Xenopus tropicalis: one gene and its partners. The protein of the gene in region 7 interacts with the protein of the main gene of each other region in a biochemical or structural test. Links are inferred from orthologs where the notes say so. Each region holds a gene or a part of one and is shown on either strand. Other genes may lie near its edges.

Region 1 (4,733 bases), on a different chromosome or scaffold from region 7:
GGGAAACAATATGGCACCTCCCTCCCATATGTATAAATACAAATATACAGAGAAGGAATGTTCTGGGCACACAATAAGCTGTACCCCCATACTGCACTGTCTAAGGGAAACAATATGGCACCTCCCTCCCATATGTATAAATACAAATATACAGAGAAGGAATGTTCTGGGCACACAATAAGCTGTACCCTCATACTGTACTGTCTAAGGGAAACAATATGGCACCTCCCTCCCATATGTATAAATACAAATATACAGAGAAGGAATGTTCTGGGCACACAATAAGCTGTACGCTCATACTGTACTGTCTAAGGGAAACAATATGGCACCTCCCTCCCATATGTATAAATACAAATATACAGGGAAGGAATGTTCTGGGCACACAATAAGCTGTACCCTCATACTGTACTGTCTAAGGGAAACAATATGGCACCTCCCTCCCATATGAATAAATACAAATATACAGAGAAGGAATGTTCTGGGCACACAATAAGCTCTACCCTCATACTGTACTGTCTAAGGGAAACAATATGGCACCTCCCTCCCATATGTATAAATACAAATATACAGAGAAGGAATGTTCTGGGCACACAATAAGCTGTACCCTCATACTGTACTGTCTAAGGGAAACAATATGGCACCTCCCTCCCATATGTATAAATACAAATATACAGAGAAGGAATGTTCTGGGCACACAATAAGCTGTACGCTCATACTGTACTGTCTAAGGGAAACAATATGGCACCTCCCTCCCATATGTATAAATACAAATATACAGAGAAGGAATGTTCTGGGCACACAATAAGCTGTACCCCCATACTGTACTGTCTAAGGGAAACATTATGGCACCTCCCTCCCATATGTATAAATACAAATATACAGAGAAGGAATGTTCTGGGCACACAATAAGCTGTACCCTCATACTGTACTGTACTAAAGGAAACAATATGGCAGCTCCAATGAAGTTACTTTTTAATCAAGAATTCTGCCTCACGATATGCTCAGTGAGTTTTTTTCAAAAAAAACATGATATCCACTCCCTTAGCTAAAGGCTTGGGCAGTGCACCTGAGCCTCTCTTTCTCTGCAGTGAGTTGTTGGACATATTTAGAATCACACAATAAGCTGTACCATCATACTGTAATGTGTAAAATACAAACATATTTATACAATATAAGAAGACAAGGCCTAGAGATTAAAAAAACATTTTGCTCCCAGAAGCTAGCTATAGGTACATACCTGGGCCATATATTTGCCCATTTAGTTTATTTTTTTTATATCTATCTCATTTTTGACACATTTACACTTTTCCTATTCATACATTTCCCTTATGAAGCATGTCAGTCTCGTTTATGACGCAAGACGCAGCACGTAATGACGTATTGACGCCGCCTCTTCCCGTCTCTATGGTGCGTGTGAGTCAGCCCTTTCTCCCCGCCCACTCCCTGCCTGACAGCCGGCTGAAGCTCCCCGCCCTGTGTGGCGTCACTGGGAGGCCGGCTCAGGAGCACTGCGAAGGCAAGATGGCGGCCACCACGGTCTCGGGTGAGCTGGGTGACGGGGCGCTGCGGGACAGGGAAGCGGGGGGAGGGCTTGCTGAGGGCAGGTTGCACCGCCGGCCAGGAACTGGCTTCTCTGGGGTTCCTGCTGTACTGTGGGGCGGTGCCTTGGCCCGGGTAGCGCTGCTGCGGGGCCTTCGCACCTCTCCGCACGGCTCTGCCCTGTCAGGAGCCCCGGGTTCCTGCTTGTGCCGGTAGCGCGGAATCAGCTGCCCCCGGAGGCCTGGGAGGGAAGCACTAGGTGTTACAGCTCCCAATCCGCCAGTGACAAGACTCGGCCCTGCCTGCACTGCTGTTCCCCCGGGCTGGGCGGCTGCAGAGGGCTGCCTGGGCTCTCCCTTACTAATGCCGGGCAATCAGACATGTTTGACAGCTGCAGGGCCACACGTTTAAAGGGGAACACCGCCCACAAACAGGATTTATTGCAGAAGAATTACTCAGCAACGTCCCAATAGTCACTGACTTCCACTGGGTTTTGCCACATAGGCAAATGAAAATTCTATGTGCTCTGCTGGTACTGACTCCTGAAGCAATGTAGCAGAAACCAGGGGATTAATAGTGCAGTCAGGACTAGAGAAAAAGGCACTACATTCAGTTTCTAATTGTTTCCCCATCAGTAGTGTGGCCTAAAGGTGGCCTTACACTGTAAGAAACGCTTGCTTGGCGAGGGCGCCCATAGAGTGGATCTCCTCCCGATATGCCCACCCTAGGGCCAAATTATCAAATTAAAACAGTGGGCATAGGCACCGTTAGTGCAGTGACTGCATCAATGAGGTCCCCGGTCCGACAGAAGAATCAAACCTGCCCGATCAAGATCTGGTGCCCATACACAGGCAGATAAACAGGGAGATTGTTGGCGCCCATACACAGGCAGATAAACAGGGAGATTGTTGGTGCCCATACACAGGCAGATAAACAGGGAGATTGTTGGTGCCCATACACAGGCAGATAAAAAGGGAGATTGTTAGCGCCCATACACAGGCAGATAAACAGGGAGATTGTTAGCGCCCATACACGGGCAGATAAACAGGGAGATTGTCGGTGCCCATACACAGGCAGATAAACAGGGAGATTGTTGGCGCCCATACACAGGCAGATAAACAGGTAGATTGTTGGCGCCCATACACAGGCAGATAAACAGGGAGATTGTTGGCGCCCATACACAGGCAGATAAACAGGGAGATTGTTGGCGCCCATACACAGGCAGATAAACAGGGAGATTGTTAGCGCCCATACACAGGCAGCTAAACAGGGAGATTGTTAGCGCCCATACACAGGCAGATAAACAGGGAGATTGTTGGTGCCCATACACAGGCAGATAAACAGGGAGATTGTTGGTGCCCATACACAGTCAGATAAACAGGGAGATTGTTGGTGCCCATACACAGTCAGATAAACAGGGAGATTGTTGGTGCCCATACACAGGCAGATAAACAGGGAGATTGTTGGTGCCCATACACAGTCAGATAAACAGGGAGATTGTTGGTGCCCATACACAGGCAGATAAACAGGGAGATTGTTGGTGCCCATACACAGGCAGATAAACAGGGAGATTGTTGGTGCCCATACACAGGCACATTGGATCTAAAGGACTGATATATTGGCAGCTGAAATCAGCCAGCGTATGGCCATCTTTACTCAGTTTAGGGGAAACAGTAGTTTTTTTTTTTTTTTTTTTTTTTTTTTTTTTAAGCCCCCGGCAGCACTAGACTGCCCTCACCAGGAGCGAGCTCCCCAAGTACCTGCCACAACTCGCTCATTATGCGCATGCTTGTGACATAGGAGGGTGAATCGCATACGTGGGAAACAACATGGCTGCCCGCACTGGGAGCTGCCTCCATCAAGCTAATGCACTGTATCCTATGGCCACAAACTGGCACCTTCCCTAGTTCCCTGGGGCACTATAGGAAGCACAATACATAACTTCATATTAATATTCTGTCATGTTAGACATCCAGTCTGTGCCCGTGCAATGTCCTGCACCCCCAGGGCATTATTTTCAGGTGCCCTGGAATCCCTTGAATACTTCCTTCTAGGTAGATTGAAGTCTGGGCAGTACAGTTAGCTGGTAGATAAGTGACCATTCTGTCTGGTCTCAACATGAATCTCAGCCTCAGTTTGGACAGGTTAAACAGAACTGTTTGGGTCCTGTATAAGGGTGAAGACACACTAAGCTACTAGTAGCAGCTACTTTCTCATGGCTATTAAACTCCAGAAAATCCCCTGCCATAGACAATACTGAGAATTGCCTCTGCTAAAACACACATAGAGACAATTATCAGTAAATGATCAGCATTGTCTATTTTAGTAGCCGTGACAAGTAGCTGCTACTAGTAGCTCTGTGTGTCTTCACTCTAAATATTACTAGCAACTAACTTGATTTGCCATTTCAACAAGCCTAGATGTCTCCTTATGGATAAAAACTAATTCCTAATATGTATGCTTTCATTGCTATATGCCATGGTAATTTAATTTAACAGGGAATTTACCTCTTCAACAGGTTTCACCCTCCCCCTTTCCGAATAGGAAGTGTTGTAACTTTCACAGCTTTTCCCTTGAGGTTTAGCAGTTTTTTTTTTTTTAATATATAGTTTGTGATACTAAAAGACCTCCAGGCTATCCATACATGCTCGGGATTGTAATGTAGATACTGCAAGTTGCAGGTTGTTGGTTCCTTTTTCTTTAATAATGCAATCCTTTCTCTTTTGCTTTCGTTTATTTAAAGACAAATGCAGTTTCTCGGCTAGGGTAATGCCAAAGGGGGGGGGGGGAGTGCATGGTCGAGCGTTTCTGTATCGCACCGACCGTTCCTGAATTAAGGTAACAAAGGGGTCTTGCTGTGCTAGCACCTGTCTTTTTGGCAGCCGATGGCCAAGGGCAGGGCAGTCTTTTTTGAAAAAGCAGGTTGTGCCACTGACAGAATTAATTGTGTCGTGGTAGGACAGGACAATGAAAACTGTGCCCATTAGTATTTGTGGGCAGGGCAAGTGCCATCTTAAAAGAGCAGGTTGTGCCACTGACAGAGAATTAATTGTGCCCAGCTAGGTCTGGACAATGAGAACTGTGCCCATTAGTATTTGTGGGCAGGGCAAGTGCCATCTTAAAAGAGCAGGTTGTTCCTCCGACAGAGAATTAATTGTGCCCTGCTAGGTCTGGACAATGAAATCTGTGCCCAT
Region 2 (4,248 bases), on a different chromosome or scaffold from region 7:
AGTAGTTTAATGCACCGCAGAGAAGTGTGAGCTGTGGCAAAATAAATATCTGTATTATATTAACCTGTATCACATTTCACCTACAGAGCTGTCATTTGGGTTCCCCTGGGTGAGTTAATAAGATCCGGGGAATACTGGAATCCAATGGGTTTCATATGTAAAAATACTCCCTCGGCTTGCATTCCGCAAACTGAGAGGCTGCTGAGTGTCACTTTAATATTTTCAAGTGCAGATGTAGAATATTCTATGAACTGATGGAAAGGGAGATATGGAGGTAAATGGTGATGCACAAGCAGTTTGCTTTCTTTTGCATTGCAAGCTGCAGGGGGTGGATTTTCCTTATAACGGAGAGAGAGCTTCCTGACCAATAAAATATCTAACCCTGGGCGAGCTCCTAGTTTAACACATAGCACCTGATAATGAATATCAAGGGGCAATAAAATAACAGGTGCAAAGTTTGCTCAGAGGCTGATAATTTATAGCAATTGCTTTCATTATTCTTACTGCATATCAGTAACTGTAAACTGCTTTTTGTTTGTTATGGGTTACTAGACCCCATGCAAACAGGAATAATTACATTGCTCCATTTCAAAATATTCAAAGGAAAGTCAATAGTTCAGGTCACACATTATCCCACACACTGGGTCGGCCTTAGTGCAGGGCACCAGATCCCAACACATACCATAGAAGGGTTAGAAGGATATTGGCATCACTATACAAAACTCTTTATAGATACATTAACATGTATAATATTTGGTAAAGAGTGTAGATTTAGGGAAATGTTAAGTTATTATAGGCCCGAAAAGTACAGTCAGTATCAGAGTACTAGTGTTGCAGGACAAATAGAGCAGGATTATTGATATATTATTTAACAAGCTTGTTTCCATAATGTCAGTATAATACAGTGTAAACCTGTGTTTTGGGGCGTTTTAAGTTCATGCAACCTTTTCTGGAAAAAAATACCAGCCTTCTGACTTTTTCACCTTTCTTCCCTTCTTATAACATTGGCATTAAGCAGCATTTCTACTGGCCAGGGTAGTAAAATACCATCCAGGTGGAAACCTCAAGCCCCCCCACCGAGGTCCAAAGGGGACCAGGGCCCCTTTAGTTTACAACAAGCTTACTGACCCTTGAAAAGATTGCTGTATAAAACCTTTCAGCCATATTTCCATTTTGTAAGCCGGCTGTGTTCGCCCACAAATCCTATTCAAACTCATATTCAAGCTGGGTTCGAAGGAGAATCTAAATGAGCAAATGCACATTGTCCCCAAATGACACTGTAACTGGCCTTTATACTGGGACTTCTTAGTCATCTACTTAAGGGGGGGCAGCCTCACAGCTTGGGTGTCATGATTCTAAACTAAAATAAAAAGAAGAAGAAGGCTAGCTTGTCTATTTCTTTTAATCCATGTTTTACTGCAACATCTGTCGATCACATTGCTAGTCAAACACAACATTGTCATTGGCCACACCACAACTAGTCTCTTCGCAGCCAGGCCTTGTCAGGTACTGAGGACCAGCAAGCAATGGCTAATGTTCAACCCAAGCCCAATACATAAGGTTTGAAATGAAAAGTTAGTTCTTTCTCCATAGATTTCAGTATCAGGGCACTAATTACAGAAGACCACTAGATGGTGCTGGTATTTAAAATACTGCTGGTATTTAAAAAGGTGAGAGCTGCAGTATGGCAGCTTCTACTGCCAAATAATTAAGAAATGGAATGTTCTATGTACACAATAAACTTTTACTTTTTATGCTCTGGGTAAGGCATGATCTATGTCCTCCCAGGGTGGTAGTGCCAGGGCTATATTTGAGGAAGTCCAAGATATACCCCCTATCTCCCCCACCATGCGACTTGACAGAGTTGCTTGGACTCCAGCTCTAGCTACACATCAACAAGGTATATGACATTGACCTTTGCTGTCTCTCCTTATTTCGTCCCTATGTAAAGAATTCAGAATTCTAAAGAAACAGCATCAGACAGGCTGGTGGCCCACGTGCAAACAGAGGCAATATTTTTTTAATTTTTGGTTACCTCTTCCAGATCTTCCGACAAATCGCAAGTCATTGAAGCGGGCCACTTGATTCTTCATGGCTGCTGTGGCATTCCTTAGTTCAGCGGAATAGTTCTCATCATTGCCAGCCATCACTGTCACCAGTGTCCCATCAGGAACGTCTCCCAAGGCCACCACCTGGGGCAAGAGAAGGAATATTGAGGTGGGTAAAAAAATCTTTATCCCCAAATCTTACCAATCTGTCCCTGCCCTGTACAATAGGAAAAAAATAATAACATTATGAACCAGGAACTCTTCCTCCATCTAAGTGGCATTTAGTCTTGCTAATATTCCTGCACACTGCGTATATAGCTGCCAGCTCAGTAGCAGTATTAGTTCCTACATTTATCAGATCAACCTGCCAGCCTTGGAACCATAGAGGGATAATATTCTATTAGTACCCTATGAACTGTTCTATACAGAGTAAAGGAAGATAGGCAAGCAATGAAATAATTAAAAACACACAGATGAAATAAAACATGTAAATACAATACTGACATTACAGAGAAGATAGATAGATGATATATAGAAAACTAGATAGATAGATAGATAGATAGATAGATAGATAGATAGATAGATAGAATCATGATAGATAGATAGATAGACAGACAGATGATAGATAGATAGATAGATAGATAGATAGATAGATAGTTAGATAGATAGATAGATAGATAGATAGATAGATAGATAGATAGATAGATAGATAAGCCCTGGATATATAGGTGATTGGTATATTCAGTGAAAACAAAATGACAGGTACTTGCAATGCATTGTGGGTGAAAATAAAGAATTGTGGGATAAAAGTGGGCCAATAATGTCACATATATATAGGTGAAGATGTGAACTTTGTCAGTGTAATATACATTTACACTAAATAAAATCTGACCTGGCATGCTAGATAGATAGATGATAGATAGATGATAGATAGATAGATAGATAGATAGATACATAGACAGACAGACAGATGATAGATAGATAGACAGACAGACAGATAGATAGATAGATAGATAGATAGATAGATAGATAGATAGATAGATAGATAGATACATAGACAGACAGTTAGATAGATAGATAATATATGGGTGACAGCCCTGGACTCATTGCAGACTGGGGCCCAGTAGTTACAGGTAGGCAGACTGAGCATAGAAAGAAAAGCAGGAGACGGCAAAATAAAAAGCATTGCTGTTAGTACTGTCCAACCTGCAGCCCTTCTGTTGCGGCTGAAGCACAACTCCTAGCATCCACAGACAGCTGAAGAGGAAGGGCTATTGGGAGTTACTTTTCCACAGCAGCTGAAGAGCCACAGTCCCAGTTTAAATAATAACAGGGCGCCACAAAGTCTGTTTTAATCTCTCATGCACGCATGCACAAATGGCCACACATACATACACTCATACACACTCATACATATACACATACATATACACACACATAGATATACACACACATATATACGTACACACACACATATACACATAAATATATACATATACACACACACACACATACATACAGACATCTGGACACGGAGCTAGACTGACAGAACTACTGATAACAGACAAGGGCTAAACTTGATTGCCATGTAACTCCAACTCTGTGGCTAAATTATAACATATTGAAGATGTATTTATCTATACAAGTCAGATTTGGCCAAAACATACTCTTCAATCAACCACTAAAACAGGAAAGACTGACTCAGATAATTAACACCAGCCCAATAGCCCTGTGTAATGGGACTATCCATAGAGGTCATGTATACAATAGCCAGATAAAGTGATTATCAGAGAGTGCGGGATAAGATCTTACATTAACCCACTGATACAGGCAGGGCCCAGTGCTAATGAGTCCCCTCCAGGAGGCAATGGATTCAATAGGGCAAAGTAAACTGACGCCTGCTTGTCAGAGTCTTAGCGGCTCAGCTCAATGCCTCATCTTTCAGAAGAAACAGACATTGAAAAAATAAAAAGGAATGAGACATAAAAAAGCAATGAAAAAATGCTTTTACACTGTATTTTGCTTTGTAAAGGTTGAAATAAACTCAGTAGACAAACAGGCGAGGTACAGACTAAACCGACATGAAGGGGCTTGCACAATACACACTGTTTTGTCTCGCCGCTCAGCCTTAACGGATTAACTGTAAGTTGCGCAGTGCCCTCCATAACCCCCTTCAATGGGAGGAATAAGGGTTAAAAAG
Region 3 (4,749 bases), on a different chromosome or scaffold from region 7:
GCCACACCTGTTTCAATCAAGAAATCACTTAAATAGGAGCTACCTGACACAGAGAAGTAGACCAAAAGCACCTCAAAAGCTAGACATCATGCCAAGATCCAAAGAAATTCGGGAACAAATGAGAACAAAAGTAATTGAGATCTATCAGTCTGGTAAAGGTTATAAAGCCATTTCTAAAGCTTTGGGACTCCAGCGAACCACAGTGAGAGCCATTATCCACAAATGGCAAAAACATGGAACAGTGGTGAACCTTCCCAGGAGTGGCCGGCCGACCAAAATTACCCCAAGAGCGCAGAGACAATTCATCCGAGAGGCCACAAAAGACCCCAGGACAACATCTAAAGAACTGCAGGCCTCACTTGCCTCAATTAAGGTCAGTGTTCACGACTCCACCATAAGAAAGAGACTGGGCAAAAACGGCCTGCATGGCAGATTCCCAAGGCGCAAACCACTTTTAAGCAAAAAGAACATTATGGCTCGTCTCAATTTTGCTAAAAAACATCTCAATGATTGCCAAGACTTTTGAGAAAATACCTTGTGGAACTTTTTGGAAGGTGCGTGTCCTGTTACATCTGGCGTAAAAGTAACACAGCATTTCAGAAAAAGAACATCATACCAACAGTAAAATATGGTGGTGGTAGTGTGTTGGTCTGGGGTTGTTTTGCTGCTTCAGGACCTGGAAGGCTTGCAGTGATAGATGGAACCATGAATTCTACTGTCTACCAAAAAATCCTGAAGGAGAATGTCCGGCCATCTGTTCGTCAACTCAAGCTGAAGCGATCTTGGGTGCTGCAGCAGGACAATGACCCAAAACACACCAGCAAATCCACCTCTGAATGGCTGAAGAAAAACAAAATGAAGACTTTGGAGTGGCCTAGTCAAAGTCCTGACCTGAATCCTATTGAGATGTTGTGGCATGACCTTAAAAAGGCGGTTCATGCTAGAAAACCCTCAAATAAAGCTGAATTACAACAATTCTGCAAAGATGAGTGGGCCAAAATTCCTCCAGAGCGCTGTAAAAGACTCATTGCAAGTTATCGCAAACGATTGATTGCAGTTATTGCTGCTAAGGGTGGCCCAACCAGTTATTAGGTTCAGGGGGCAATTACTTTTTCACACAGGGCCATGTAGGTTTGGATTTTTTTTCTCCCTAAATAATAAAAACCCTCATTTAAAAACTGCATTTTGTGTTCACTTGTGTTATCTTTGACTAATAGTTAAATGTGTTTGATGATCAGAAACATTTTGTGTGACAAACATGCAAAAGAATAAGAAATCAGGAAGGGGGCAAATAGTTTTTCACACCACTGTATGTGTGTGTATATATATATGTGTGTGTATACATATGTGTGTGTATATATATATATATTCCATGCAACTATAAATAGTAAAACATATATGTATATTAATTCCTATAAAGTACTCCTACAGGTTGCAAACACCACCTGCTCACACTTCCCACAGATATTTACAGTGAGTAGTGAAGGTGTGAGCTGCTGCTGCCGCTGTTTTTACTCAGGGAAACACAAGGTGCAGCATTACTGCAACTCCCATCCCATTCCTTGCAATGCACAGGCCAGTAATTAGCTGGGATATCAGTTTCAGGCTCGGACTTCCCCCTTCTTTTTTTTTTTTTTTTTCTCTCTCCGCACTACTGTACAACAGCCTGATTTCCCCGAAATGATGCCGAGCTGCTAGCCCAGCCCCTACCAATAGCGGCGCAGCAAAACACATGGAGTGGGCGGGCCGAACAAACTAATACCTGGGGTTCCCCGCTATACATAATAAAGTCACTCAGGCTCTCTCAGGGAAACATCTCTCCAGGAATCGCTCGTTTAGGAGATATTTCTAATTCACGTCGCCCCTTTTCTCTCTGGATTACAAATTCCTGCTAGAAAGGTAAACTTCATCGTTTCATTTGCTTCTGCAGAACAAAAAAAGGACCTTTAAATGCACGAAACATGATAGAATCTGATGCTGGAGGCTGGTGATGTTCGGGGTGATGATCGCCTGGCATATTATGTGCAATGCATTGGGATTTGCCTCTGCTCTGGCACTGACGGGTATAGCTAATGATAGAAGATGGGGGTCAGGCTGAGGGTATAGCTAATGATAAAAGATCAGGATTAGGCTGAGGGAATAGCTAATGATAAAAGATCAGGATTAGGCTAAGTTAGATAGTTAGACAGCAGATCAGCAGCCAGTAGATGTTGCTGTGTGTGCAGTGGGCACTTTATCATGCTGTTATGTATTCCTTATTGCTTCTGTATCCAATGAAGGAGGAAGTTGGAATTAAAAAGCAGCAAGGCATAGGAGAATGGAAGACAAGGCTGACCCCTTGGTATAGATAGGGCAAAAAAATACATTTTTAGTATGGAGTGTGGGAAAGTTTGCACTGTATGATGAGACTGCATATAAATGTTTCCTGTGACTCTGTGCTGATCCTTCTGCAACTTGTGACTCTCCAGCTATTGCTGAACTCCTGTCCTGTGATGCTGGCAGAGGCACAGACTGCATATCTCTGCATGCAAACAGGAGTTAAATTCAGTATCTAAAGAGTAAAAATGCAGCTCAGTCTGTGTGTCGTGACTGCTCGTTTCCCAAAGAGGTTCTGCATCAGCTGTGAGCTGTGGGTCACTCTTCCTTGCACTGTAGAAGTGCTGTCTTTAATGTGCATGCGGGGAGGTTTAACTGTTTGTGGTCTGGGTGTTTGTGGTGCAGAAGTTCATTTGTTTCTTTACAGCAAAATGTTATTTTTTTTTTTTTGGTAGCAGCAGAGATCAGGGCGGTCCGTTTTATGCTGGCGGTAAAAACACAGAGGAAAAAAAACACAGCAGCCAGTTAGGTTGCGTTTCAGAGGATGTAAGCCAGTGCTTGGGGGCGTAACTATCCCTGCTATCTTCTTGTGGCTTCAAGCAGCACAACCCAGCTCTGTGAAGCTCCACATGTTGCTTTTGGCAGCAGCTTTCAGCATTGTGTTGTGCAAGATGGCAGTATTCCCACTTATATTCTCAAAGCTTGTAGTTTTGTCTTAGATTCAAAGGGAAACATTTAGGTGGCACTGGCATGTAATACAGTCTTTATATTTCATTGCACTGATTAAGCCAGTAGTAATAGTAGTATAGGAATAGGAGTTGTAATTCCAAATATATATATGAAAAAGTGCAAAAAAATGAAAAGAAATTGGTGTCTTGGCTGGATGAGAACATTATAATAAAATACACATTGGGAGTTTTATTTGCTTTGATGGAAATTTAATTTTATTATGCAGTATTTTATATGTGAGTTTAGCACTCCGTTTGGTTTTGCCAGTTCACAGGCAACTTTTGGCAACTGTTGTAGAACCATATTTCATAGTTGAAAACTTCAAGGAAGAGATCTGTGATGAATAGTAATAAAGTAATTTTACTGGTGTCATCCCAGGGCAGTTTGGAAATAACATACAAAGCATGAAGATTTCAAAAAAAGAATGGAATTCCCCACTGACAGCGAAAAATGACCTTGTGTGTTTTTCTTTTGCAGAAATAATGCCCGTTACACGTTTACGGATGAGGCCATGGCTAGAGGAGCAAATAAACTCCAACAAAATCCCTGGACTTTCATGGATCAACAAGGTAAGGGCATGTATACATGAACTTTCCCTTTAGAGCAGTGGCATACAACACATGTATAAGCCTGGAACTTCTATATTATGTTTGTCAGTTAACGCTGTGATGCGCTTGTTTATAAAAGGATAGCTCCTGTTTTAGTGCTACTGTCACTTTAATGTTAACAACCTTACATCTACATCTTTGTTAGTAAAAACAATTGCAGTTATGGAGTATATTTAGCAAAGAAGAAAAAGAAAATTCTGCAAGGTTTCTCCCTACTAAAATAACTGAAGCATTTAGAGAATTCTGTGGGCGTGGGAAGTGATTTAGGACATTTGGGAAGGATTTTCTGTTTGCTTTGTGATAAATGGCAGATTTAGGGTTAGAGAGATGTAGTTCTGCATAATAAACATTGCAAATATACTTATGGTTAACAACGTTTTCTATCTCTTTTAATCAATCTGCCTTGTGAATAACATTGCCATTATGTAAAATACTGGCCAGATGGCAACCCTGTACGCATGAGAATATATTTTATATAGTGGTTTGGCTATCAAAGCAACTTGTTTATAAACATCAGTGCTCCTTGGAGGAGGATAATAAGCAGATCTTCTCTTCTGCAGGAAGAAATGATATTTGAGATCCCTTGGAAACACGCTGCTAGACATGGATGGGACATCAATAAAGATGCGTGCCTTTTCCGTAGCTGGGCTGTCCATACAGGTACGGCTAAAAGGGTGGGTGGAAGTGCCTGCATATTATAAAGTCTCTAGGGGATGTATAAAGCTAATGTCCTGAAGCACAGTTTAGCTTAGATTCTTAAAGGAACTGGTAATATAACTGCAATATGTAGCCTTTCCTAGCCTGATTCTAGTTGTATTAGTTTAATGCCAAGTTGCTGCCCATGAACCTATGGTTAACAATTACATCATTAACAAGGCAGCCAATATGTCTCTCAGCAGATAATACAAGATGATACTTTTCTCTCATTTGCTTCTATCCCCAATATCCTACATTATGCCAAAAAGTTGCGTTAGCAACACAAAAGTTTGTTTTGGTCTTGGTTTATTCTCTGAAAATATTTTCTTTCTCAAATCTGCAGGACGTATTAAGTCTGGTGAGAAGGAGACAGACCCTAAGACTTGGAAGGCCAATTTCC
Region 4 (3,273 bases), on a different chromosome or scaffold from region 7:
TTTCTATTCTGACCCCCATTCATTATTGTGTTATTTCAGCTCTTCAGTCCGTCCTTGGGAATCCCTGACCTGCCCCTGCCCGACCCTGACTCCAGCCTTGCCAGTGTGAGTATAATGGGCCCCATATGGATTGTGCAGTGAGTTCTGCCCCCCCCCGTGCCTGCTTGGAACAGCCCCCCTTTCCCCCTGCCTGTGTGCCATTGGCTAGTGCTGTACCTAATGCCCCGCTGTCTCTCAGATCCAGGAGCTGCTGTCGTCTCAGGATCAGAAGGCATCGGAGACAGTGGAGTCCAGAACACCTGACGCAGGTACCTGCACACACTGCTGCAATGCAGGCTTTGCCCACTAGAGGGCCCCCCCCAGGGCTGTTTTGCTCCTCCCCCTGTGCTTCACCCACGTCTCTCTCTCCCTGCAGGAAAGCAGATCGTCCATTATACGGCTCAGCCCCTCATCCTTATGGATTCCAGCGGTTCCGACCTGCCCATTCTGCTGGAGCTGGAGGGGGACGAGCCGTACGTTGCAGAAGAAGGGGATGATTATTCAGAGGATCCCACCCTCTCTCTGCTGTGTTGGGACCCCCAGAGCAAGCCGGCGGGCTCCAGCATCTCCTAGAATATGTGGGGACTTTACTGAAGTGCGTGTGGTAGTGCTGCTGCTGCCCCCCCATTCTGCCCCCCCATTCTGCCCCAGCGTCTGCATGCCAAAGGGACTGATCTTGCTGCAAGATGGACCAATCGGATGGCTGCTTTTGGCTTGTTCAGTGTGTCTTTCTAGTAGTGGAGCCTACTGCGTGCCTCTTTGGGAACGGGTCCCCCCGCTGCCTTGGTTAGGGGTGCAGTTTCCCTCCCACCTAGGGATCTGTGGGGCAATAGGGGCAGTACTTGCATAGAGTCACCAGGGTTCTGCATTTTTCAGCACTTATTAAGATTTGGGGCAATGCTTATTGTTTGGCCCCTTCATGTCATGTGACAAGGTGTGGAGTTTGGCTGAATCTGGGGATTTGGAGCAGTTCCAAGGAGGTTAGTTCTCTGGGGCAGTTTTGTGTTACTTGCCCTAAAAATCTGATTTGCTGCATTATCTTGTTTGCCCCCCTACACCCATACTGGGGCTCATTAGCCAGGAAAGTGGGTGCCACTGCAAAATATAGTTACCCCTTAACACCACCAGGGTCCTAATTCCATTCTGCCCCCCAAATTCATCATTGGGTCTCCTCTCCACTGCCGGGGTCTTCATCTTTCATAGGGGGTGCCGTTCCCGGTGCCCTTTGGGCTGGGGGGGGACCAGATCATTTGTATTTTGGGGGGCACATCTAAAAAATCCAACTGGAAGGGCCGCACTGATTGCAGTTGATTTCAGATGCCCTGCAGCATGTATTTATTAGATGCGCCCCTGAATCTTCAAGTGATCTGGTCACCCTACTTTGGGCCCCCCAGGCCTTTACACTGCCCCCTGTGTAGTACAGGTTTGGGAGATGCTAAATCCTGCCCTCTGTAATATCAGCGGCTCCTTCATCTTCATACTTGCCCCTCTCTCTTCAGCCCTTAACCCCGTGCTTCCTGCATAACATGAACCAATCTTTCCCCCATCTTCTCATGATACCCCAGCCAATGGTCTGTGGGTTGGTTGGCAAGTGGGTGGGGAAAATGGGCATTTGTATATACGGGCAGCACAAACATCATGTCTAATCTGGTGGCTCGTGGAAACATTGCAGTCTCCCAACGTGGCTTTACGTGGGCTGATCCTGTACAGAACCGGACCGGCCAGCCCACAAGCTCAACAGGCGGCTGCTACACAAGGGTTTGTACGTGCTCTGGCCCCCTGTTCTATTGTTACATTCATTGGGGCCAACAGCCTGAAACATCAGAACAGCAGGAGCCACCGACTGCCCGGGTACATAGACACGAGCTGGGGCCGGCCGGCCGGTCTCCGTGTACCAGAGAGAAAATCATACAAAGCTGCTTCTTTTAATTTAAAGCAGAACAGAGGGCGATCTGGTTCCAGACTGAACGTTGGTTCTGAATCAGCTACAGTGGGTTAAGATTAGGAAAGTGGAAGATCCTTCTGCGAGTGGCAGCGCACTATGGGCCTGCTGGTGTTGTGGAACCGAATATCTCATTAATCACCGCGCGCTTTCAGTTGTTGCCCTCAAAGTGTTCAACGACCCCCCCCCCCAGACTTTGGCAGTTTAATGTTAATCTCTTTCCACTGAATAAGAATCTTACAGATATAGTGATGTAGGTTAATAGGCAGCAGCTGCCACCAAAAATATCAGACCAGCCTCCTGAGGTGCAAAGATAAGAGTTTGGGATGTGAAGATCCTAGTGAAAAGACCAGTTGGTTAGGTTGCGGAGAATGAAGATCCTAGTGAATAGACCAGTTGGTTTGTGGAGAAGTGAAGATCCTAGTGAATAGACCAGGTGGTTGGGTTGTGGAGAAGTGAAGATCCTTTTGAAAGACCAGTTGGTTGGGTTGTGGAGAAGTGAAGATCCTAGTGAAAAGACCACTTGGTTGGGTTGCGGAGAATGAAGATCCTAGTGAATAGACCAGTTGGTTTGTGGAGAAGTGAAGATCCTAGTGAATACACCACTTGGTTGGGTTGCGGAGAATGAAGATCCTAGTGAATAGACCATGTGGTTGGGTTGTGGAGAAGTGAAAATCCTTTTGAAGGACCAGTTGGTTGGGTTGTGGAGAAGTGAAGATCCTTTTGAAAAGACCAGTTGGTTGGGTTGTGGAGAAGTGAAGATCCTAGTGAATAGACCAGTTGGTTGGGTTGTGGAGAAGTGAAGATCCTAGTGACAGACCAGTTGGTTGGGTTGTGGAGAAGTGAAGATCCTAGTGACAGACCAGTTGGTTGGGTTGCAGAGAATGAAGATCCTAGTGAATAGAGCAGTTGGTTGGGTTGCAGAGAAGTGAGGATCCTAGTGAATAGAGCAGTTGGTTGGGTTGCGGAGAAGTGAAGATCCTAGTGAATAGACCAGTCGGTTGGGTTGCAGAGAAAGAAGATCCTAGTGAATAGACCAGTTGGTTGGGTTGCGGAGAAGTGAAGATCCTAGTGAATAGACCAGTTGGTTGGGTTGCGGAGAAGTGAAGATCCTAGTGAGTAGACCAGTTGGTTGGGTTGTGGAGAAGTGAAGATCCTAGTGACAGACCAGTTGGTTGGGTTGTGGAGAAGTGAAGATCCTAGTGACAGACCAGTTGGTTGGGTTGTGGAGAAGTGAAGATCCTAGTGACAGACCAGTCGTTGGGTTGCGGAGAAGTGAGGATCCTAGTGAA
Region 5 (4,248 bases), on a different chromosome or scaffold from region 7:
TCCCTTAAGGAAAGCACTCACAAGATGCCTGATCTCCATTGGTCTTTGTAGATATATCATTCTTGTCTTGCCGGCCCTTTGTTCCTGTAACCTCCTCCATTTGGTGAATCTCCGCTAGACATAGTCGTGGGTTGTGATGGAAGAAGAGCTTGCCATGTATGATGGTCAGGTTGTGCTTATGCCAGTCCCACAGCTGGCGTAGACTGGGATTATCCAGAGCATAGAAGGAATAGTTACTGTAAAATAAATCACAATGTTAGGAAACAGTTAATCTAAGCTGATGTCACACAGGGAGATTAGTAGTTGCTTTCTTATAGCTTTCTAAGCTGTAAGTACTTTATTGTGAGAGTTCAATAAAAACTGGATATTTGATGGTTTACAAAACTGTAAAATGTGTTAAAAAAAGGGAAACCTGTGATTCCACCCCACTCACCCTGCTTCCAACACTTCTCCCCTAATTAAACGCAGCTTGCGGAAGAATGACAAAGACACCAATGCATATGATCTTCTGATCTTAAGATATCCAGAAATCTCCTCAATGAGGCCCAGGTTAGCTTCTAATTCTGTTGCAATATTATCTGGAATAAAAAAAACAGAATGTTAATGAACAGATCAATAACAAAATTAAAACTGAGTTCTATGGGAATCACTCGAAAACATATTTTACTAAATGATCATTTCTAAACGAATTTTCTGTTAGAATTCACATTTTGCTTCTTTCCAGTCTGTATAGTAAAATTCGATCTGGTTGTCAGGGTCACTGTTCCTGGCAAAAACAGCAAAAAAAGTCTCTTTCTCTTCATCTTCCGGTTGCCGGGTAATTAAGTCTCATTGTAAGCAACTTTTCAGTTATTTATTTTGTTGTTTTTAGTTGGCCTTCACATTCTGGCTCTTTTCCTGCTTATTTTTTTTTTTTTGGCTCTCTACAATATATCTTCAGTTGTAATCTCTGCTCAAAGATAGCCATTTCAAACCCTTTCGGCTGCAGAAAACAACATGTCAATAATAGTTCTACAATGATAATTTAAGATAAAAAATTCCCTCACAAAAAAAGACAATAATAATACAATGACCATAAAAAAATTGCTTCTTACAGTCTTCACCCCAAAAATAACATTGCAGATCATTCTTATCTGGAAAAGCCCTAAGCAACCTTGGGAAATATGTATTTCCTCTGTGGGTCTGAGCTGGGCTGAGCCTGAGGGCCTATTAGGATACGATTTGGAGAGAAACATTATTTGTTGCAATTATGAAAACAGTGGTTAAAAAATTGGCATTTTTACACAGAAAGATAAAATTAAGTATTCTAGGGCCTATCTTGATCAGATACATTTTGACCCACCTTCCTATTACATTCAAAATATATTTTCATTAGTACATACAACCTATAAATCAATGCTGACAAACAAACACGAGAAAAACTTCAAAGGTGTTTTACAGCTGGTAGCTAGAAGTGTCAGAGAGGGAGCGGCGCCTTTGGATAAACACTGAACTTAGAACTTGGAACTAAAACCTTGGTTTGATTATGTGCAAGGTCCTTGTGACCTTAAACGAGGTAAATCTCTCAGTAGCTCCCACACCAGACAAGAAGTTGTAATGCATACAGCACTGAAGCTAAATAAAAAGGTGTACAGATACACAAAGATTTGATAATTATTTGATCATTCTTGACTGAATTGACAGGCCAGAGGACCCTAAAAAACTATTTTGTCAATACCTTGATCTCTGGCCCATTTGGCCATCCACACCAATGCCTCTGGCTTAATTAACAATGTTAGTGAAAGTAATAAGTCTTAGCTAAATTAAACTGACCTTATAAAGTATATAAATAAATGAAAGCTGGACCTCTAATGTGACAATTTCCAATAAAAGGAGGGTTATCCCCCTGAAACCTTGAACACTTCTGTCTAATTTTTCTACTTTTAAAAAATGACATAAAATTCAACAATACATAATGACAGAAGGTAATCATGTGATGACGCTATTCATACCCCTATAATGTAGTAAAAGGCAAAAAGTTTATCTAGGTACAGTAGCCCCTGCAACCAATACAATGCTTTTAAACAGATTACCAGTTCATTCTACGAATCCTACACTATACGAATCCTAGTACAGAGCACTTCTGTATATATAACCAGACATTACAATGTTTGCCATACCCTCACTTTGTTTTAGGAAGAGCAGTTTTGCAGTACAAATCGGCCACCATCAACTTTATTCCCAAGAATATTTTATTGCCCCCTATTTATATGAATATATTTTTTATTTATTTATTGTCCACAGATTTATATTAATAACATTTTTTATATCACTTCATATATTCCAGCCCACAAACAGGTAGAACATAAGGTCAGGCCATGGAAAAAGGTCACAAACTAAATAACTTAAATGTTGCCAGTAGCAACTTTTACGTTGCAAAAGACACAATTTGTTGGCACACCTACAGTAAAATCAACCTTTATTTAAGCAATTAAAACCTGTACATTAAAAGTAACTGAGCCCTCTGGTCTCGTTAAACCTGTAAATGACTCTGTACATAACACTGTCTATCACTGGGTTATACTTACTGCCTCCACGGATGTTGATGATAAGACTACCGTTGACCACTGTGCACCCTCTTAATTCTTGAGCAGATGTCACAGAGTCTATGGTCTTGACACTTTGGTAGATGGTGCAAACTTTGGGGCAAGGTCCTGCGCATGGTGTACAAGTACGGCTGTAGAGAGATGGTACATCAGAATAGAAATAAAAAATATCTTCCTTTCATACCAGAAAATATCATATTATGGTGTGTTTTAATTATTGTGAAATGTCATCCCTATATCAATGACCCTAAAGCTATAGCTGCTACAGATATTTATCCCAGAGGCAAAAAGAAGATGTTTGCATAACATTCCTTCAGTAAAATTAAAATCAAATATACTTAAAATCAAAAACGCCCCAATATTAATGACCCCATACTTACAGGATGCTCTGCACAAACTTTTACAGAAAAAGACCCCCCAAAACTGTATACCACACTATTAAAATTTAGCATAGTAGAAAATACTGGAGCTATTTAAACCATCCCAAAATGTAGTTATACTTCATGCAAATCCTGTGCACCTTATGCATTTTGATGGTAACAAAATCTACATATTGGCACAAAAAAAGCTACTTACGTAGTTGAGTTGGCAATATAGCCTGATGGGCAATCTGGCATGCACTCTCCCTTGTGGATGACATAAGGAGGACAGGAATTTTCCTTATTTGGGCACCGGTTGTGCATTTCTTGACAGGTATTGAAGTCAATGCACCGCCAACCCTGGAACCGGTAAGACCCCTCGGGACATGCACTGATACACACACCCTGATACTGGTAATGCCGGCAGGCGGTACACTCAGTTGGATCATTAGGCTTTCTGCAGCTTCCAAGGCACTCTGAGTGGCAGCACTGTCCATCTGGCAAACAACCACTTCCCTTGCATTCTGAAGGGCACACTATGCACAGAACAGAGAAAGTTTGTAAGACAGTAAGTATATAGAACCAGTACATAGAATTTGTTATTTTATGATATTGTAATTTATTTTCTAGTTAGTGCCAGGCATTTCCTCTTCAAGAGAATGAAGTAGTTGCCACTTTTCAACACCCTGGAATGTGGCCTGAACAGGGACAGGGGTTTTATGTCCAGATATGACTTTAACTAAGAGATCTGCAACCTAGAAAAACACAGCTAAGGACAATTTACTTCTCAAAAGACAATTTCTTTAGGCTGACTTCATCTCACAACAAGGTGCTAATTGCACTAGTATTTGCATCCTTGGCAGAGTGAAGCTAAACTGTGCATTCTAGGAAGCTTGTCCATATCTGGACCAAAATGTGATCTTGTCTTTACATGTCACATTTTCCATTTGTAGTTTATTTATTACAGTTTGATATAGACAGACAGTTTGATAATGTAGTGCACCCTTATCTTATCTCTTTTTTTGTTAAGGTCAATTTTATTTATTGTTTTTAATACAAAAACAAAACACACAAAAACACTGATATAAGTATAGTTTCCAGGTCTATAAAATATACATCAGAGTCAATGAAAGAAGTATAGTTTGTGGTACAGAGAAAAATAGTATTGCATAGTATCCAACCATGGTGACCAGATACATTCAAATTTGTTCTGAGTACCCCTAACCTCTGAGGTAATTTTTATAAGTGGTATCGTCTTGCTGACTAGCTGTTGCCATGAGCGGACACTAGGTAAAGTAGTTCCC
Region 6 (4,248 bases), on a different chromosome or scaffold from region 7:
GCTGCTACCAAACACATTAAAGACAATAATAAAAAGGGTAAATTCAATGCAAACATGTTAGGCTTCATTAACTTGGTACAATGCTGACATTTCCTTAGAAATTTGATGAATGTAAATATACAGTGTATAAAACAAAAAATGTTATGATATAAGCATTCTCTGCTTCATGGATGGATTTTTAGAATCATCTCTAATTCTCTGTTTAATAAATCGTTCCTACAGGGGAAGGGAGGATGGGGTGCAAGTACATGTTACTTTGAATACAGATTTGACCAATGCAAAAACAAAAGTGCATCTAAAAAGAAAGGGAGGGGCAATGACACATTGTTTTAAAGTTAACAGAGCCAAACAAATAGTTGTTTTATCTTAAAAATTAAAAAAAAAAACCCAACTGTTTCAGCAACTAACCTAACTCTACCTTCATTCACAGTGCTCATACTCAAATCATGATGGGTATAATGGACATCAAGAACTTTTGCCACCCCTTTGAACATTGTGGAACATGCTGACACGATGGATTACAGCCTCTGCGCATGCGATACAACAGTGAATTAGAACAAGACATATTATTTGCTAATGTGCATTTAATCACCAAAGATGACCATGTCTGGGCTTTTTATTCCATATATTTTATTAAGACTGTGTCCATTAAACACAAACAAAAACAAAACAAAAATAAAGGGAAGAGGTCTTGGCAGAACAGGAGAAATGATGTGCACTTGAAGATCAAGCCGAATTTAAATATTATTCATAGCATGTAGCCTAGTCCATGCTCTGGCTGCAAGGGAAGAGAGAGCACAATGAGAACAACATAGTACCTGCCTATACAGACAATGTTATGCATTTACCTGCAGAGATATTCAGCAAATTTCTCCTTTTTACCAGTCCTTCACGTTCATGCATACAATGCAATACACTGAGCGCACACACTGTATTATATTACATACACAAACACACTATAAAATGGTCAGAAAATTCCAGAATCTCATTCCAGAATGTTTTCTTTAAATCTGTCTAAGAGAAAACAAGATCACTAAAGACAATTGCACCATTAGAGACTGAAAATGCTCAAATTCGTGTTTTTTCTGACACTGTTTGGTTGCAATCTACTGGTCACAACAAAGCTATAGCTAAATAAAAAACATAAAATGACAAAGCACAGAGGGGATTCATTTTCACCCCAAAGCTGTATTTTGGTAATTTCAATCAGTATTGTGCAAGAATGTAAAAAATACAGAATAATATTAAAAAAATAAAAATTAAAATCTTCGCTTTTCAATACCTGTTTCTATGGCTTGGGCTTCATTTGTCTTCCACTGCTCAGCTACATCATTGGCTAATGGGTCATCTGGGTTGGGAGCACTTAACAAAGCCTGAATTGATAGGAGCACGGTACGGATTTGCAGAGCTGGTGACCATTTATCTATACATGAAGAAAGAGAAAATAAGACCCTACTCTTTGCCTTTAAATTCAAACATTCATTTCATGTTCACATGATCATGTGTTATTTATTATGAGTACAAATTATATGGTACCTTACTATGAGTAAATATGCAATTAAATAGTATGCACTCAATAGTAAGAAATCCAAGTCTGGCTTGGGACTACATGGGAGTAGGAGAAACAATAGGTTGCCTGGAAACAGTTCTAATGTGTAGCGCTGGCTCTTTCTGAAAGTTCAGCCACTGAGATGGCTGCCTACACAGCAATATTACAACTAAAAAAATAAATGTTGGTTCAAGAAAATTTTTTTAAATGGTAGAGTGAATTATTTTCTGTTTAAACAGTGTAATTTAGAAATAAAAAGTACACCATAAAAAATCATGGCAGTATCCCTTTAAAGAACATAGTAAAGCCCAAAACCACAGTTTTTACACAAAGTAAAACACGTCTATTACCATTATATTGACAGGTGTCAGCAAACAATGTGTTCGGCAAACAAAAGGAAAAATCCCAAGAAAAAGGCATACTGAGCAACATCCCAGATAGGTTTTTTTTTATCTTAATTAACATAAATTCATGACTTTAATTTATAATAATAAAAAAAAAAAAACTTGCAAGGAATGTTTAACCATTTATGGTTTTAACAAAGTAGTATTAAAATACCAATGCAATAGATATACATTTCTGGGTTACATTGTAATCTAAGGGGAAAACAACATGTTGCCTAGCAACAAGTCTAAACAAGTTCTTACTGCTACTGGCACTTAAAGAAATAAGACTAACACCATGTGGTGTATTCTCTATGCACATACGGCAGATGCCATGTCTGTCAATGATAACTGAACAAGATGGATTAAACCTAATTGGCATTTACTCCACTGGCATTTCTGATGCATATATTAGCATACACCTGTATGCAGTTACCAACTGGAATGGAACACATTAGAACACTGTAACATGCTAGTGCAATAGTTACACAATGTCAGTGTGTATAAAAAAAAAAATAACTGAACTCCACAATGCAACAGTTCAGAAGGTAGCACAACTTATTTTTGTTGGCTCTTAAAATGATTTAATAGTCAGCACTTAAAGGCACGCTGTATACAGTGATGCCTAAGTCATTTTTAAAAAAAGAATCTGAAAAATAATAGCGTCCTTTTAAATAAGAGGAAAAACTTACCTTTCAAAATATCTAGACATATTCTTCCCAACTTGTCTACATTAGGGTGATAGATTTTGGTCATGAAACGTACTTTAGGCGCTGCCATTGGGTATTCTTCCGGAAGAAATAATTCAAGTTTAAATGTCCCTCCCTCAAAGGGGGAATCCTGTGGACCAGCGATAAGCACATGGAAATAGCGAGCATTGTTTTCATCTGGCTCAGCCTTAATTCCGGGGACTGGCTCTGCCAGTAAACGCTGGGTTTCCTGCAATGAAAACACCAGGACAAATGTAAAATGTGTAGTGACTGAGGAGATAATACACATATATTATATAAATGAAGAACAGAGTTCCGCACACACAGGGAGTTTAAAAAAAGAACAAAAAATCTTTATTAATCCAACGTTTCCAACACTAATTGTGTTCCTCTTTAGGGATATGTATAGATATAGATATATAAATGCCAATACATGTGTAGTAAACTTATGTTAAAAAAATTAAAGGTACTTTTATGACTATCATCTCTAAAACCCACAACAATATTTAAACATTAGGAACCAAACTAAACACACTTTTATTACATTTTATCTAGCACTTCTGCTTTGCAGCGTTGGGGTCCTGAGTTCAATCCTGGCCTGGAGTCTGTATGTTCTCCCCATGTCTGCATGGGTTTCCTCCAGGTACACCAGTTTCCTCCCACACTCCATAAATATAAACAGAGTGTGTGTGAATGAGCTAGGGACCTTAGATTGTAAGCTCCCCTGGGGCAGGAATGATGAATAATCTCTGAAAAGTGCTGTGGAAATCAGTCAGTGCTATATAAATAACAGGAAATTAATATATATATTTAAAAGCACAGTAAAAAAAATTCTAAGCCTTCCAGTGCTAAATATAAGGATATCAGTAATTGCCAAAAGTCCTTTTTTGACTAATGCCTAGAGGAAAAAAAAGAAAAAAACCAGCCATCTCAATCTGGCACTGGTCACCACTTTATGTATGTCCAGTAGGGTGCTTTTTATTTTTTTTATTCACTTGTACTAGGAGTAATGAGAGTGGCAGACCAAATGCCACTGTTTTCCACCAGATGGCAGTTGTGGACATAATTCAGACCCTGGGATGGCACTCCTCAGCACTGATAAACCACACCAGCCCAGGCTACTATTTCACCTGCCCCAGGCATCCTTTGTGGCTTGTCTGTATGCTGGTGCTAGAGTGACAGATCAGAATTTGAACCTGGAAGCTGAACTCTATCCCTACTGCACATGCCCAGGGCTGCAGCAAAATATTTCCTGTATAGGGAAAGATGATGGTGGTGCTCACTAGAACAGCACCCAGGCTGGCCAGGGTCTAAGGTCAACAATCAAACACCCCTTTCATTTATAAGCTTAGCAATAAGGATGCAAGTTTCTAGTATTATAAGCTTAGTAATAGGGATCGCACCAAATCCATTGAGACTAGGCTAAATGCCACATTCTCCCCCATGTTTGGTTGATCGCTAAATCAAGTTCAAACCCTAATTTGCACAGTCGAAGAGGATAAAAATCCAAATAAAACTAAGTAAGATATTGCCACTTTCAGCAGGCCAGAGCTTTAAAGTCACCATCAGTTGTGGGTTTGCCCTTGGGTGCACTAAACCAGGGGTC
Region 7 (3,725 bases):
AATCTCCCCGTGTGCCAGAGCCCTTATAGTGCCTGTGCTATTTGTGGAGCAGAACTCCTGATATCTGTTTAATTGCAGAAGAGCTTACGCAGCAACAAATGATATTTGTTTGTTTACCCCGGCGGACTTAGTGCTGCCTGACAGCAAGAGTATATTTAGGTCATGAACCAGCTTGAAAAACAGGAACACCGAGGCCGGGCACACAGGTTTAGCAAGGCGTTAGCTCTTGGACACACTCTGACTTCCAGAAGCTTTAGATTCCCTTGAAGGTGACACGTGCGGGAAGCCCCAGATAGCGAGGCAGATTGTTGTACTCTGTATACTGGAGTCAGCTGAGGGCAATGCTATTAAAGGGGAACTCCGGCTTCTGAAACAATATTTGTTAAACACAGAAACCCCTAATATACCCATCACTGTAATCTGTTCCTTAAAGTAGGAATGAATACCATTTTTATATGCTGAAATCCAGCTGCAAAGCAGTTCTTCTCTTTCTGCATCATTTGAAATCCTGGCAGGGGAGGAGGGACTAAAACATTGATGTTACAAATTGTAACAACTTCTCCACAGCTTACAGACAGCATGCAGGAACTATATAACCCATAATGCATTGCACTGTGATGTTCCTTTCCTTAATGGCATCATATGTACAGGGAATTGTGGGATATGGAGGATGCAGACTGACAGGACAGGCGACTACTGATACATTTTATTTGAGCCTCAAAGTAGTCAGATCAGCAGGGGGCGGGGCTTAGGGAACTGTTACAAACCATATTATTACATTACAAATTATGAAAAGGCTGCATATTTTTAATTGATGTATATTGCAAAGTTGCTTGAAATTATGTTTACTTTTCAAAAAGCTCAAGTTGTGTTTGGGTAGAGAATAAACTGAGTGTACATATGTGTGTATTATTGATTAATGCAGCTAGGGAAAAATCAGCTTTATTTAGAAGCTGTAAATGACCCCTGTCTCATATGTATTACTGTATAGTGTGCCAGGCAGGGCTAATAATCTTGTGGTTATGGGGATTCACGTCCCCTTAGAAATATGTATTTATTTGTGCATGTTTGTTACGTATGGCTGACAGATAATTTTATAGTATAGATGGCGGGGGTTATAAGAGTCAGCTTAGCTTTAAACAGACCTATTGACTTGACCGTGGCAGAGTTGAGTGCCGGCAGTGACCCCCCCTTATTCCCATGAATTCAACACAGGGTGGATACCTCTTTACAGGGCCCTTTTAATAAATGGGCAAAAGGGGCATTTGCCAAGGGGCAAACTTTTGGCAGAAGCATTGAGCAAAGATGGCTGACCCCTCATTAACTTGAAGAGCTCTATAGTAGGGTTATTGTAATTTCTTTCCATTTTTCCTTTGGCATCACCCAGGGCTGTTGGTCGAGGGCAGCACACCAGTGGATCAAGGGTTGCCACCTGTCTGGGTTAGATAGGTGATGACATCAGCGGTTTGTGTGGTGACATCATCACAAACACCCCTTTTTCTGGGTTTATAACCTGGCAAAGGTGGAAAGCCATGTCTTCAGTCAAACCAGACCATTTCTTTACTGCCTGCTTTACTATATCAAACTTTACGTGCTTGAGGGTTATTCTATCACAAATTGCTTGGGGCAGTGGGGGCCCACCAGTGAAATTTTGCCCAGGGCCCCCTGGTACCTTTTAAGCAGCCCTACCTCTTTATGGTTACTATAGAAATTAAAAATGAATTTTTGATTGAATTAGCTACCAAGGGGGAGGCATTCAGTGACTGGGCTACAAATGAGCAAGCGTTAAGTCCGTAGCATAGTGTCATATTGGCAGCAGTGTTACTGGGGCTTTTGTGTATCTTTCTCTGTATAAACACAGAGAGCGTTGAACATAGTCCCTCTTTATGGATTATTTTAGCAATGTACCTTTACCTGTGTTCCTTTGTATTGCACAACCTAAACCAACAGCCAGTTTCCACATTACAAATCTTTAACTGGTATTTCCTTCCTTCCCCTGCAGCCTATAACCTGGCCAAGGAGCAGAGGCTGAACTTCGGAGATGATATCCCCAGTGCCCTGAGAATCGCCAAGAAGAAACGTTGGAACAGCATAGAAGAGAGACGAATCAACCAGGAGAATGAGCTGCACTCCTATCTCACCAAACTCATCCTGGCCGAGAAAGAGAGGTGGGGGTGGCCATTTGGCCTTCAGCCTCGGCCATAAGATACTTGTATGGGATGGGAATGAGCTTTTATGTTGGGTTCTTTGAACATGTCTATGGATCACGTCTCCGCCACAGCTCGGCCTCAGCTAATATTTTTATTTTATCCTTCGTTTACAGAGAACTTGAAGAAGCAAAGCGAAAACACCAAGAGGATAGTGTAGAGGAGAGTAGAAGTCGAGCCCTGTTGTCTAGTGTGGCTTCCAAACATGTGAGTAGGAGTCTTATGGGGGCATAGTGTTCTGGGGTTTCTTGCACCATTATTGTCTTTCTTGCTAGGCTGGGTTATCTAACGCAGGATGGAAATTTCCATGGATATTCCTGCTTGTAAGGGTTGTGGCAGAGATATTTGATTGTGTAGGCAGAGTTCATAAGGTCAAATTATCCCGATGTTGCCCACCTACATTACCTACAATACACAAGGTCACCAAACGAGCAGATCTTCTCCTGATATGCCCATTTCAGGTGGGCAACATCGGGATAATTTGATCATTTGGCCTTAGGACCAAATTACAATGAGCCGTCAATGAGTCGATGCGGTCCCCGAAGGTCCATCAGGGGGCCCCATACATGGGCAGATAAGGTTTTGAATCAGTCTAAATCACTCCAATCAGAAGCTTAAATCTACTTGTATATGGCCACCTTTATATACTGCTTTTCCACTGTCTCAGTACCTAAAGGGAAACCATGTTGGAGAGGGGTGCCACTGTGCTCAATAAGACAGTCCCTTTTACTTGATGGTAACTAAGCTGTATGAATCCATATTGGTGACTAAACAATCCTATTCGGTTTATGTCAGCTTTAAAGGGGTTGTTCAGCTTTGAGTTAACTTTTAGTATGATGTAGAATGATATTCTGAGATTGGTCTTCATTTCTTAATATTTGTAGTTTTTTAGTTATTTTCTTTTCAGTCCTGGAGCTCTCCAGCTTGGAGTTTCAACAGCTATTTGGATGCTAGGGTTCAAGTTACCTTAGCAACCAGGGAGTGGTTTGGATATCAGAGGGCCTGAATAGAAGAGAAAGTTACAAAAAGTAACAATAAAACTGGAGCCTCACAGAGCAGTAGTTTTTGGGCTGCTGGGGTCAGTGACCCCCATGTAAAAACTGCAAAGATTTTGGAGAAAAAGGCAAATGATTAAAAAACTATAACAAATAAATAACGAAGACCAGTTATAAAGTTGCTTAGAACTCCCATACCGTTGGCCATATTTAGGGTTGTGCCCATCAGAGCCAAGTTCCATGCCAAAACACCCCGCTTAATATATATAAGGGATGCTGGTTTATTGGTTGTATCAGCTGAGGCCTTGTCATGTTGTACAGCTGTGATCTGTGCTCTGAGTGGCAGGTGAGTTACCCTATCAGCCAGTGCCCCTGTAGCAGCTGAAGTCCCGCTCCCTGGAACACTACAGAGCAGAAATCACACTCTGCACAGAGAGGGGTCCTGGTGAGGAAAGACATCTTTATGGATAAAGGGAACATCTTTATCACTGTACAGCTGCAGTCGCCAACACTGTTTTTTTTT

What was found.
Region 1: the proteins of stub1 (region 7) and ube2v1 form a complex in vitro, tested with the Homo sapiens proteins (4 studies listed by BioGRID). The link is inferred for Xenopus tropicalis from reciprocal best matches to the Homo sapiens genes STUB1 and UBE2V1.
Region 2: the proteins of stub1 (region 7) and runx1 form a complex in vitro, tested with the Homo sapiens proteins (3 studies listed by BioGRID, with this or other methods). The link is inferred for Xenopus tropicalis from reciprocal best matches to the Homo sapiens genes STUB1 and RUNX1.
Region 3: of the proteins of stub1 (region 7) and irf1, one has a biochemical effect on the other in vitro, tested with the Homo sapiens proteins (4 studies listed by BioGRID, with this or other methods). The link is inferred for Xenopus tropicalis from reciprocal best matches to the Homo sapiens genes STUB1 and IRF1.
Region 4: the proteins of stub1 (region 7) and hsf1 form a complex in vitro, tested with the Homo sapiens proteins (2 studies listed by BioGRID, with this or other methods). The link is inferred for Xenopus tropicalis from reciprocal best matches to the Homo sapiens genes STUB1 and HSF1.
Region 5: the proteins of stub1 (region 7) and insr form a complex in vitro, tested with the Homo sapiens proteins (2 studies listed by BioGRID, with this or other methods). The link is inferred for Xenopus tropicalis from reciprocal best matches to the Homo sapiens genes STUB1 and INSR.
Region 6: the proteins of stub1 (region 7) and ube2n form a complex in vitro, tested with the Homo sapiens proteins (11 studies listed by BioGRID and IntAct). The link is inferred for Xenopus tropicalis from reciprocal best matches to the Homo sapiens genes STUB1 and UBE2N.

The regions. Positions count from the first base shown.
Region 1 is NC_030686.2:36,460,419-36,465,151, reverse strand, and holds the start of ube2v1 (ubiquitin-conjugating enzyme E2 variant 1), read left to right. Parts: upstream 1-1,423; 5' UTR 1,424-1,521; coding exon 1,522-1,543; intron 1,544-4,733. UniProt on the Homo sapiens protein: Has no ubiquitin ligase activity on its own. The UBE2V1-UBE2N heterodimer catalyzes the synthesis of non-canonical poly-ubiquitin chains that are linked through Lys-63.
Region 2 is NC_030678.2:13,905,924-13,910,171, reverse strand, and holds part of runx1 (runt-related transcription factor 1), read right to left. Parts: intron 2,193-4,248; coding exon 2,036-2,192; intron 1-2,035.
Region 3 is NC_030679.2:36,218,531-36,223,279, forward strand, and holds the start of irf1 (interferon regulatory factor 1), read left to right. Parts: upstream 1-1,807; 5' UTR 1,808-1,899; intron 1,900-3,522; 5' UTR 3,523-3,527; coding exon 3,528-3,614; intron 3,615-4,213; coding exon 4,214-4,313; intron 4,314-4,692; coding exon 4,693-4,749. UniProt on the Homo sapiens protein: Transcriptional regulator which displays a remarkable functional diversity in the regulation of cellular responses.
Region 4 is NC_030682.2:152,297,402-152,300,674, reverse strand, and holds part of hsf1 (heat shock factor protein 1), read left to right. Parts: intron 1-39; coding exon 40-105; intron 106-238; coding exon 239-308; intron 309-415; coding exon 416-612; 3' UTR 613-3,273. UniProt on the Homo sapiens protein: Functions as a stress-inducible and DNA-binding transcription factor that plays a central role in the transcriptional activation of the heat shock response (HSR), leading to the expression of a large class of molecular chaperones, heat shock proteins (HSPs), that protect cells from cellular insult damage.
Region 5 is NC_030677.2:111,788,801-111,793,048, forward strand, and holds part of insr (insulin receptor), read right to left. Parts: intron 3,481-4,248; coding exon 3,162-3,480; intron 2,717-3,161; coding exon 2,568-2,716; intron 579-2,567; coding exon 434-578; intron 237-433; coding exon 22-236; intron 1-21. UniProt on the Homo sapiens protein: Receptor tyrosine kinase which mediates the pleiotropic actions of insulin.
Region 6 is NC_030679.2:56,088,713-56,092,960, forward strand, and holds part of ube2n (ubiquitin-conjugating enzyme E2 N), read right to left. Parts: intron 2,872-4,248; coding exon 2,625-2,871; intron 1,424-2,624; coding exon 1,283-1,423; intron 779-1,282; coding exon 738-778; 3' UTR 1-737. UniProt on the Homo sapiens protein: The UBE2V1-UBE2N and UBE2V2-UBE2N heterodimers catalyze the synthesis of non-canonical 'Lys-63'-linked polyubiquitin chains. This type of polyubiquitination does not lead to protein degradation by the proteasome.
Region 7 is NC_030685.2:14,822,761-14,826,485, forward strand, and holds part of stub1 (E3 ubiquitin-protein ligase CHIP), read left to right. Parts: intron 1-2,002; coding exon 2,003-2,168; intron 2,169-2,323; coding exon 2,324-2,414; intron 2,415-3,725. UniProt on the Homo sapiens protein: E3 ubiquitin-protein ligase which targets misfolded chaperone substrates towards proteasomal degradation.